2 linked regions of the Drosophila melanogaster genome follow. The protein of the gene in region 1 purifies or fractionates together with the protein of each later gene. This does not show direct contact. Each region holds a gene or a part of one and is shown on either strand. Other genes may lie near its edges. The genes, in order: Pen and Fs(2)Ket.

Region 1 (5,735 bases):
CTATCATCCCGCCTATGCCACCTACCAGGCACCGGCTGCCGTCTACCATGCGGCACCAGTGGCCCAGGCTGCTGTCTACCAGCAGGCGGCTCCAGTTTACGCCAAGACCTTTGTGCCAGCTGCTCCTGTATACACCAGATCCTATGCCCTGCCCACTCCAGTTGTCAAGGCGGTGGCTCCTGCTCCTCTCGCTCTGCCCGTTGCTGCGCCGGTGGTGAAGACCCTGGCTGCTGCTCCCGTGGTCGCTGCTCCAGTGGTCAAGACTGTGGCTGCTGCTCCCGCTGTACTGAAACAGGTAGAGTTGGAATCTTCGCCGCGCTACGACTTCTCCTACGGCGTTCACGACAGCATCACCGGCGATATCAAAAGCCAGGTGGAGACCCGTGACGGTGGCAATGTTGTGGGATCCTATTCCGTCCTGGATGCCGATGGTTTCAAGCGCACAGTGACCTACACCGCCGACGACATCAACGGATTCAATGCGGTGGTCCAGCGGGAACCGGTTGTCGCTGCCCGCGCAGTTGCTGCTCCAGTGGTTTCCGTCTCCGCTCCAGCTCCAGTTCCCGTCCATATTTCCTCCGCTCCCGTTGCCTCGCTGCCCGCTCCCATCTACTATCCACACCAGCAGGTGTTCGCCCCACAGCAGATTCAACAGGTTGCCGAGCAGCAGGGTGAGGTGGTGGAGTCTCCTGTGGCCCAACAGCCCGAGCTGGAACCCACTCCCATTGACTACAACGAGGGTCAGCAGCAGCAGCAGGAGCAGCAGCAGCAAACCTATCCCCAGGATCAGCAGTTCCCACCCTACTCGCCAGCTGGTCAATCCTCCCCAGCTCCTGACAGCGATGATTCCGACGTGGTGGAGGCACGATCTGCCCCGGAGGCCAGCAGCACCACCACCACCGCTGCTCCAGTTACGGAGGAGAACAAGAAGACGGCCTAGATTGGATTATGAACGGAAATATTGTTGAAATTAATAAGGAAATGAATAAAATACTTCGAGAATACATAAAAAATTGTCTACTAATTCAAATTAAATGTAGTTTAGTTACATTTATAAGCTGATAATTCAAAAGCTTAAATGCGGCGATTTTAATAATTAATTTACCACATTAATTTAGCGGATTACTTCTCAAAGAATCGAAAAACAAACAATTGAAAAAGGGACTAAATCGATTGGCAGCAATCATCTCTAAAAAAAATTTTGTTTATTTCTGACAACCGCATATAAACAAAATGAAAAGAGCATTAACCGGAAATATCTGCGCATTTATTGCATTATTACTGATAATCGAGAGATTAAATGGTATTAGTGCAATGATAACATATTTGCAAGCAAAAAAAAAGAGACAATCAAATTTTATATTTAAAGGTAGACAGATAAAATCAGTACCTTTTATTATCCAATTAAATATTGATTTAGGTGGCTATTTTTTGTCTTATTAAATATGGATAGAGCTTTACATTTTAACACATATTCGTTGAATAAATTAACAACAAAGATTGAACATAAATATTTATGGAAATTGTAATTGAAGCTTTTAAACGTATAGCCTTAATATTAAACATTATTAATATTATATTATTTTAAGATGAAGGTTTTCCTTACAAAAGTAAAGACGAGAAAGTAAAACATAAACATTTGTCATAAACATTTAAATGAGCCCGCGTGGTGTGCAGATTCAGCCGACTTCTATTCAGCTGTTGGCTGAATTTGGCTTGCATGCGCACACGTTCCACGTTCCACAACAACATATTGAAATCCAAAAGCTGCTTCACCACTTGGCAAGCGATCGTTAACAAGTTACACCAGAAATTTATATATACTAAAAAAATAATAAGTTACTTAAAAATTTAGTAATAATTATGTGGATATAAAAAATGTACATTATTTTTCTCTACGCGCCGTTGTCCGAAGTTAACAGCAAGATAACATGCGATATTAGGCACCTACGTTCACACTGGCATCAAATTTCGATAACTGACAAAGATCGATAGCCATCTGCGTTTCGTTCGCCACTAAGGCTTGCTTTTCAAATCAAACGGTAAATTCTGGCGGCGCCAAGCAGGCATTGACTCCAATTTCGCATCGATTACGAGAGTACTGTCTACGTTTGTCTACAGTTTCACCGACACATTCAGCGTGCTAACACGCTCGACAAATTCTCGTGCTCGCGTTTCGTTAGGGAACGATAAAAATTGTGTAAAAATTCAGTAAAGTGAATTTCCATTCGAAAAAGCCAGCACACGCATTCAAAAGGGCAAAGGTACAAAGGTAAGTGCGTGTGTACTCTTTTCTTCCTTTTCGCGGTTTTTCCCACTGCTTTTTACTAGCGTTCATCAATTTGACCGCCTCTTCGTGATCTCCTCTTCTCGTTCCCCTCTTTCCGCGAATCGGCAAATGGCGGCTGCTGCAGCTGTTGCCAACCAAAGGCGTAGTTCTTAACTCGCGGGGGCTTGAGCGATTGGGTGCCCCGTTAAAAATAATCTTGTAAATTAGTTGGCTTATGTTGGCTAACACATAGGAATAACATATCGAGTTGCTGGCCACAAAGAAAACCCCTTTTTTGAACTCATGGTTACGCCCCTGTTGCACGCCGAAAGGAATATAAAAGACAGAGATAAAAAAAAAGAACCCAAGCAGCCCTTGATTCTGCTTCTTCCTGACATTGACTCACATTTTCCTTTTCAGTTTCACACATTTCATCGCAGCAGCAAACATCTAAACTTTTAAAGAAAAAACACAAAACTCAAAAAAAAAAAAAAAATGAGTAAGGCGGATTCTAACTCACGACAGGGCTCCTACAAGGCCAACAGCATTAACACGCAGGTAATGTACACAAGATCCTCCGCAGAACTGCGTTCGGAACTAACCTCACTTTTTGCCCTAGGACTCACGCATGCGCCGCCATGAGGTGACCATCGAGCTGCGCAAGTCCAAAAAGGAGGACCAGATGTTCAAGCGGCGCAACATCAACGACGAGGATCTAACGTCGCCGCTCAAAGAGCTCAATGGCCAGTCGCCGGTGCAGCTGTCCGTGGACGAGATAGTGGCGGCCATGAACAGCGAGGATCAGGAGCGCCAGTTTCTGGGCATGCAGTCTGCCCGCAAGATGCTCAGTCGGGAGCGCAATCCACCCATCGACCTGATGATCGGCCATGGTATTGTGCCCATTTGCATACGCTTCCTGCAGAATACCAACAAGTGAGTAGTGGCTTTAGAATGTTGATGAGAGCATTATTGAATATCCCCTGATTCGCCGCTACAGCTCAATGCTGCAGTTCGAGGCCGCTTGGGCGCTTACCAACATCGCCTCTGGCACATCCGACCAAACGCGCTGCGTTATCGAACACAATGCTGTGCCGCATTTCGTGGCTCTGCTCCAGTCCAAGTCCATGAACCTGGCCGAGCAGGCAGTCTGGGCTCTGGGCAACATTGCCGGCGACGGAGCCGCCGCCCGCGACATTGTCATCCACCACAACGTAATTGACGGAATCTTGCCACTGATCAACAATGAGACACCGCTCTCTTTTCTGCGCAACATCGTCTGGCTGATGTCCAACCTGTGCCGGAACAAGAATCCATCGCCGCCATTCGATCAGGTGAAGCGGCTGTTGCCCGTCCTGTCGCAGCTTCTGCTTAGTCAGGACATCCAAGTGCTGGCCGACGCCTGCTGGGCTTTGTCCTACGTCACGGACGACGATAACACCAAGATCCAGGCTGTGGTCGACTCGGACGCAGTGCCGCGCCTGGTCAAACTGCTGCAAATGGACGAGCCGAGCATTATTGTGCCCGCCCTGCGCAGCGTTGGCAACATTGTGACTGGCACAGATCAACAGGTAGGAAAACAAATGATTTTAATCCTTATTGTTATAACATGCCTGACCGACCTGTTTTTTTTTTTTTTTTTTATTAGACTGACGTTGTAATTGCATCTGGAGGTTTACCAAGGCTGGGACTCCTTCTACAGCACAACAAAAGCAACATTGTGAAGGAGGCTGCCTGGACGGTCAGCAACATCACAGCAGGTAACCAGAAGCAGATCCAGGCTGTGATTCAGGCCGGCATCTTCCAGCAGCTGCGCACCGTGCTGGAGAAGGGTGATTTCAAGGCTCAAAAAGAGGCTGCCTGGGCGGTGACAAACACCACGACATCTGGCACTCCCGAACAGATCGTCGATCTAATTGAGAAGTACAAAATATTGAAGCCTTTTATCGATTTGCTGGACACAAAGGATCCGCGTACCATCAAGGTGGTGCAGACGGGCCTATCCAATCTGTTTGCCCTGGCGGAGAAACTTGGTGGCACCGAGAACCTATGCTTGATGGTCGAGGAGATGGGCGGTCTAGACAAGCTGGAAACTCTGCAGCAGCACGAGAACGAGGAGGTCTACAAGAAGGCCTACGCCATCATTGACACATACTTCAGCAACGGCGACGACGAGGCCGAGCAAGAGCTCGCACCTCAGGAGGTCAACGGAGCCCTCGAGTTCAATGCCACCCAGCCCAAGGCTCCCGAAGGTGGCTACACGTTCTAATCGCCCACCCCACACATTCCAAACTCCGCTCACACGCCTTACAAACAACTACACCTTCGACCGCGCTCACACACTATGCCATTGTCAAACATACGCATACTCATCATCACATCTTACAAACATTCCCAAACACTTTGGAGGTATGCATGGAAACACAGGCGAATGCATTAGCTTAAAGTCATAATTGAATCGGGTTGGCAAAATCCACTCGCATGAATCCCCATTTAACATACCCGTATTCCTCGCGTTAGACTAGACTTCACAGATTGCAGCATGGATCTTTCTGGCAGTGTTCCTCGTTCACGATGCAACCGCTCGGGCAGCTGCGCTGGCTGGGATCCGTGGATCATAGTATTTCCAGAATCCGTCTGTACAGGGGGCACCTTATGTTTGCGTGTACTAGGCTTTTTATTGGATACGTTTCGAGCTCATTTCGGATATATTTTAGGCTGTTTAGTATTTATTTATGTATACAGGAAACGCTTTTAATCCTCCACCTTCGCGCAAGCATTACAACAACAACAACAACAACAACAACTCATTCCCTTCACACCAGTGTCCTCATTCCCGAATCGCATGTTTATATTCAAAGTTGTCAATAAATAATGAATTGTTTGAATGATTAATTAAATTTCATGTGTATTTAAGCTGCATTTGAGCATTGCGAAAATTGGAGCCTATTTTTGGGCCTTGGCATTTTTTTTTGTATATTATTTGGAATGCTATTGGGATATACACCGATGCAGGCAATCGAATTTAAAATGTTATCCCTTCGATGCGCTGGCGCCTTTTGTCCGTAAATCCGCGATAAAAAGTCATGCAGTCAATACATGTTTTTTTTTTTGTCTTGTACATTTAAATCGCATTTGGGCCGTAAGCGGATAGCCGGAAGATTAAGAGCTATCTACCGCAGCCACGCCCACTCGAGCAGCGGTGGACAGCGACCCCAAAAAAGTTCCAGATTAGATATAATGATTAAACAACCGACGAGTGAGTAGTGAGTAGTAGTCTACTACTGGCACAGAACGCGCACCACGCACAACTCAATCAAGATGAATCGCAGCGTTCGTGGTTATTGCAGTGATCCAGAGGGTAAGCTTAATCAGTGGAGCGACGACGTCACATCAACAACCATGTCCACGTACGATCTTGTTCCCATCGGATGCAGTGCGTCGAATTCGGCGAATCGTGTGTGTGTGT
Region 2 (4,989 bases), about 11 Mb from region 1:
TCGCTGTGATTGTTAATCTGCGTTTCCATCTGCATCACCTGGTTCAAGCGCTCCAAAATCACCAGCGTGGTGCGCTGGACCACCAAGTAGCAATCCAAGGGAGAGTTCTTGATCATATCCATAAGTGCCTGATAAGCAGCACATCGCAAATTGGCTTGAGCTCCGTCCGATCGATCAGTGGTCTCCAGCAACTGGGTAATGATGTACTCAAAGTACGGGGACAGGGCGTACGTCTCCGGAGTCTCTCCGTCGTTGGTGACCGCTGCCTCCCAAGCTGCATCGGAAAGTCCAATGAAGGCCCAACACACGTTGGCTGCTACACGCGGCTCTGACTTTAGGCTCTTCACGAAGCACTCCAAAAGCGTTTGAAGATATGTCTCGTTGATAGCCGCCTCGGGAATTATCTGTCAGGAAAAAGCAGTAGAAGGTTAGTATGACAATATGAATCACCTTAAAAATCACCACTACGCACATCGCAAATACGTCCGAAGGTCCAGGCGATGGTATCGCGCACGATAACGCTGGAGTCGTACATCAGTCGAATGAGCGTGGGCATGGCTTGCTCCACGAGCGGCTTTAAGGTATTGGTCTCCAATCCATTCAGCACGGAGCCGAAAGTCATTACCGCTGCGTCGCGGAATCGCCAATTAGGTGACTCGATGTTCTCCTTGATGAAGGGAAGCACATGTGGCACGATCTCGTCCTCGCAACATGTGGCCAGCACCATGAGGCAAACGGAGGCGGCCTTCGCCGGGCTCCAGGTGTCCTCGTCATCGCACTCGTCCTGCTTGGTTAATTTCTCGACGAGCACAGGCGTCAGGAACTGCAGAGCACCTCGAGCATAGTGCTTGGACACTCTCTGCGGAGCGCGGCCCTGATCAGTGGCCTCCTGGCTTTCGATGGCCAGATCTATCTCCTCATCGCAGACGTTCGACCAGAACTCTATGCCCTGCAGCGCTACAGCATCGTTATCAGACTTCATGGCCGCCAAAGTAATAGGGAAAAGAGCCTGTGCCATGTAGGGCTCCATGTACTGGTAATAAAGGGTCATAATCTTCACCAGGCACTGCAGAGCGGCAACGCAGATTTGCGAGTCCTGGCACTGAGTGGCCTCGCACACCACCTCCATGATGAAGTTGCGCTCCATGTCTTTCTCAAAGTTCGATTTGGTGAACTCCAACGAGTTGTGAAGGGCCGTGGTGGCCGCCAAGCGTACATGATTGCTCGGCTCTACCTTTCTCATGCCGTGAATAATAGCAGTCAGCACATCGTTCGACTGGTTCTCCATGACGCCGAAACGAATGTCCTGGCAAATGTAGCCAATGGCCTCCAGCGCCGACTCGCGATGCATCTCGCTGGATCCTTCGCTGACCACCTTGTTCACCAGTGTCTGGATGAGCATGGGCCAGCGGTTTATCGGCAGCTCAATCACGGCCACATAGGCCACGCACTGGGCGGCGCAGGAGGGTCGGGTGTTCTCGGTACCCAAAGCAGCCAGGATCTGAAAGTAAGTCGCAGTTATTCAGTGCCAATTGTACAAGTCATATGTTTCAACATCAGCGTATGTAACTTACGTTATTCTTGATCAACTCGCGGATCTCGCTGGGAAACTGATGCCAGCGATCCTGGTACTGTTGGCTGACCTTCTCGTCCTTGCTGGTCAGGTGGTTCTTCAGCTGGAGACCGGCTGCCATTCGCGCCACCGCACTGTTGGCCGTGTTCACCAGTATCTCTGACAGCGCCTTGAGAAACTCGGGCAGGTTGCTGGCCGCCGCCTGCTCCAGAAAGTTCTTCGCCGATAGCAGCTCATTTTTGTCTGAAAATGCGTCATTTGGTTGGTTAGACATTTTTAATTTCCAATTATGTCAACGAAAGATTTTATTTGTGGGCCTACACACGCCCACCATTTTGGGTCGGCTTAAAGCTTTGGTATCAGGCCATTGAATTTTACAACAATTGACTTTTGGGAATGTGAAGGCAAGATAGGAACTTTTAGGCAAGGCGTATATAGTGAGAATATTGTTTAATAAGAATACAATAGATGGTGAAAGAAGTGTGTGCATATGAAGAGCTAAGCAGTAAGGTCTAGTAATGAATTGTAGCGGTGGAGCATAAAATCTTCAGGCAAGGGGCAAGTTTGCAGGCATTCCTTATCAGCAACCGGAAGAACTGGCCGCCAAGCATACGGTGGTGACTCCGAAGCGACGCCTCATCGATTCCTAGAGTTAGTGAGGTTATGTCGCAGGCGGTTCGTACATCCTTAATTGTAGGAGCGCAAGCATTGCGAATACATACAGACGCGCCGCCAAGTTTCCCTTGGAGTATGTACGTGGATGCACATGTGTGCGGAGGCCCCTAGCAACCAAACATATGCGAGCGCCTATTGCAACCCTGCGCAACATATAACGCGCGTCCCTCCCGCCAATCGAAGAAAAATCCATATTTTTCGGATCTATACACACACGTTTGTAGCAGTGGGGAAACTCACCTGGCGACACCGTCTTTTCCAAAATGGCAATCAATTGCATGGCGATATCGGAAGTCATGTCTTCGCTCTTTTCCTCTCTATATGATTTCTACTTCACTTTCCGTTTCTTTCTGCAGCTCGTGCGTCTGTGTGGGTGATGGAATTTTTGCGTAATTACTAGACAACACTAGTCTGTCGGCTGCAAATGGTGGAGACAAAAGAGTTAAAGTTATTGGGCTGCTCCGCTGAAGCTGGCGATTTTATTTCGACAGGTTGCAACACCTTGATTGTCAAAAGAATTGATTTTTTCGCACACACGCACACAACAAGCGCGTTCAGTAGAACTCTTCATTCTACTCACATTGTTGTTTGGTTATTTTTCGGGAACGGTAAAAAAGCGCGGGATTCCTAACGGCGATTTTCTTAGTTATTATTATAAGCCTATTTAATGGTGGCAGAACCTTTATCTGCTCTTCGGGAAGTGCAGGCAATATATTTCTTGTGTCTCCGATTTGAAATAGAGCTGAAACGAATGTCGATTTTTATTTGATAGCACTGAGTTTCGATGAAAAAGGCGACACCTATTCGATTGCTTTATTCGAACTATCGATAATTTTTAAATCTAATAACGTATTAATTAAATATTCTTAAATGCGTAGGAAATGTGCAACCATTTGACAAAATATATTATTAGTCAGGAACGATAAGACCAAAATACTTACTACTTGTATTAAAACGCGTTTGCCTCCCCAAAAATCAATCGTTAAATTTGAATGATTGTGCTTATCGAAAATTTTCATATTCAAAGATAAGCACGGAAGCAAAACCTCGAACGAACTAAATAATCGAATACTTTGACTTAAGAGTCGTAGGTAAAAAACTAACAAATGAACAAAATTTGATTACTATATTAAGAAACAGTGGATAAAAATAGTAATATCTTAGAAGTATCACACGTATACGTGTGTATATTGGTTGCATTCGCTTACTGAACAGGGGAATTAATTAATTTAAATATAAAAGTTTATTAAGTCTACCAAATTTCGTTTTGCACGTAATAATAATAAGAGCTAAAGGTTTTCGCGGTAATATTTAGCTTTGCAAATGCTGGTAGTTTTTTTGTCAGCCAGTTGGCAGCCCTCTCAGCTGTACTAGGTGGCAACGCTGCTACAGTGCTGACGTTCGGCAAAAAAGAGGAAACGTAGTAAAAACACTCGAAAAACTCCGTATATTCCGATAAATATCCAGATAGTACGGTTTGTGCGTGGCCCGCCGATCCGGAAAGTGTGGCAGAGAATCGCGGACACGGCCACGTTGTGATTACAACCCGTACAAGTAAAGGAAGAAGGTCTGCTACTCCTGCCGTTCGTTGGTTACCCCAATTCGAGATGATCCTGCTATCCGGACTTCTGCCGCTCCTGGGCGTCGTTCTCTTGCACCTTGCGACCCCGACACAGGCCTTCTATCTGCCCGGACTGGCACCGGTCAATTTCTGCAAGAAAACCGACGTCTCATCCACATGCAAGGTAGGTGTATACGTATGTGCAGAAGTGCAGATGTACATATGTACGTAGATAGTGGGTGTGTTTGCCCCACGCCCGCCACAATTAGCAAAGGCACTGGAACTAGTTATGTACATTGGTTCTATATTCCTCTAATGGTGGTCACAGGCGGAAGCACTGATAAGCGCAGTAACTAGTTATATGTGGGGTCCATATGTGGCCCTCTATCTCAACTTCTGCTGACGTTGCCTACGCCAGCTCTCTTTCCTAGCGACAGCTAGATGGGAGTTCTAATGTTGGTTCAGCTGGCTCGCGAATGCGATTTCGGGGGCTCCCGACCTTAAGAATCTTAACATAGTGGCGGCTAACCAATAATTGAACCAGGGAACGCGGTTAGCTTGTCATGCTTCCTTGCATTATGTTTGGGTTATTTTCTTTTTAGTAATAATAGTATAACACAATAACAATATAAATTCAGGACAAAGTATAATTTTTAGTTTGATATCCCAAATAGATGGGGTTAGCCCTTTTAAAAGATGACCTAACTATTGGATGATAAAGCGTGAGCTATTGGTTTTGTTTGCTTCATCTTATCTTTAAACAAATCTAAACAACTTTTTAATATACCCGTAGGTCAAGAAATCCTAATCGGTTTATACGCCCTTAAATTAGACGTTGCCCAATGATAAGAATTAATTAAGGTGTTTCACATTCAATTGTTTCTAACAATCTAAGAGAGCTTTTTGATAAGATAAATTTCTAAGAACCCAAAGTAAAAGCAAATTACGGGGTCAAATTATCGAACGCATTTGCAAACTTTTGGAATTTTTACCAAACTTTAATAATTATTTCCACGATAAGATTAAAATACACTAGTATTATCAACAGTTGTCAATCCAATTGATTGATCTAATTCCTGATTATCTTCTTCAGTCGGAAATCTTGTTGTACGTCAACCGCTTAAACACTGAGGAATCCGTAATACCCTATGAGTACCATCACTTCGACTTTTGTTTGGGC

The links.
Region 2: the proteins of Pen (region 1) and Fs(2)Ket purify together in Drosophila melanogaster (affinity purification with western blotting, with the first as the bait; one study listed by BioGRID). This does not show direct contact.

What each region holds. Positions count from the first base shown.
Region 1 is NT_033779.5:10,054,933-10,060,667, forward strand, and holds Pen (pendulin), read left to right. Parts: upstream 1-1,967; 5' UTR 1,968-2,272; intron 2,273-2,689; 5' UTR 2,690-2,764; coding exon 2,765-2,827; intron 2,828-2,888; coding exon 2,889-3,202; intron 3,203-3,266; coding exon 3,267-3,837; intron 3,838-3,914; coding exon 3,915-4,535; 3' UTR 4,536-5,163; downstream 5,164-5,735. Other genes in the region: Cpr31A (cuticular protein 31A), read left to right, coding at 1-940. UniProt on the Drosophila melanogaster protein: Binds specifically and directly to substrates containing either a simple or bipartite NLS motif. Promotes docking of import substrates to the nuclear envelope. Seems to act as a cytosolic receptor for both simple and bipartite NLS motifs.
Region 2 is NT_033779.5:20,732,930-20,737,918, reverse strand, and holds the start of Fs(2)Ket (female sterile (2) ketel), read right to left. Parts: upstream 3,009-4,989; 5' UTR 2,829-3,008; exon of another isoform or gene 2,750-2,828; intron 2,667-2,749; 5' UTR 2,547-2,666; coding exon 2,489-2,546; intron 1,817-2,488; coding exon 1,575-1,816; intron 1,502-1,574; coding exon 473-1,501; intron 405-472; coding exon 1-404. Other genes in the region: TM9SF2 (transmembrane 9 superfamily protein member 2), read left to right, coding at 3,856-3,993, 4,903-4,989.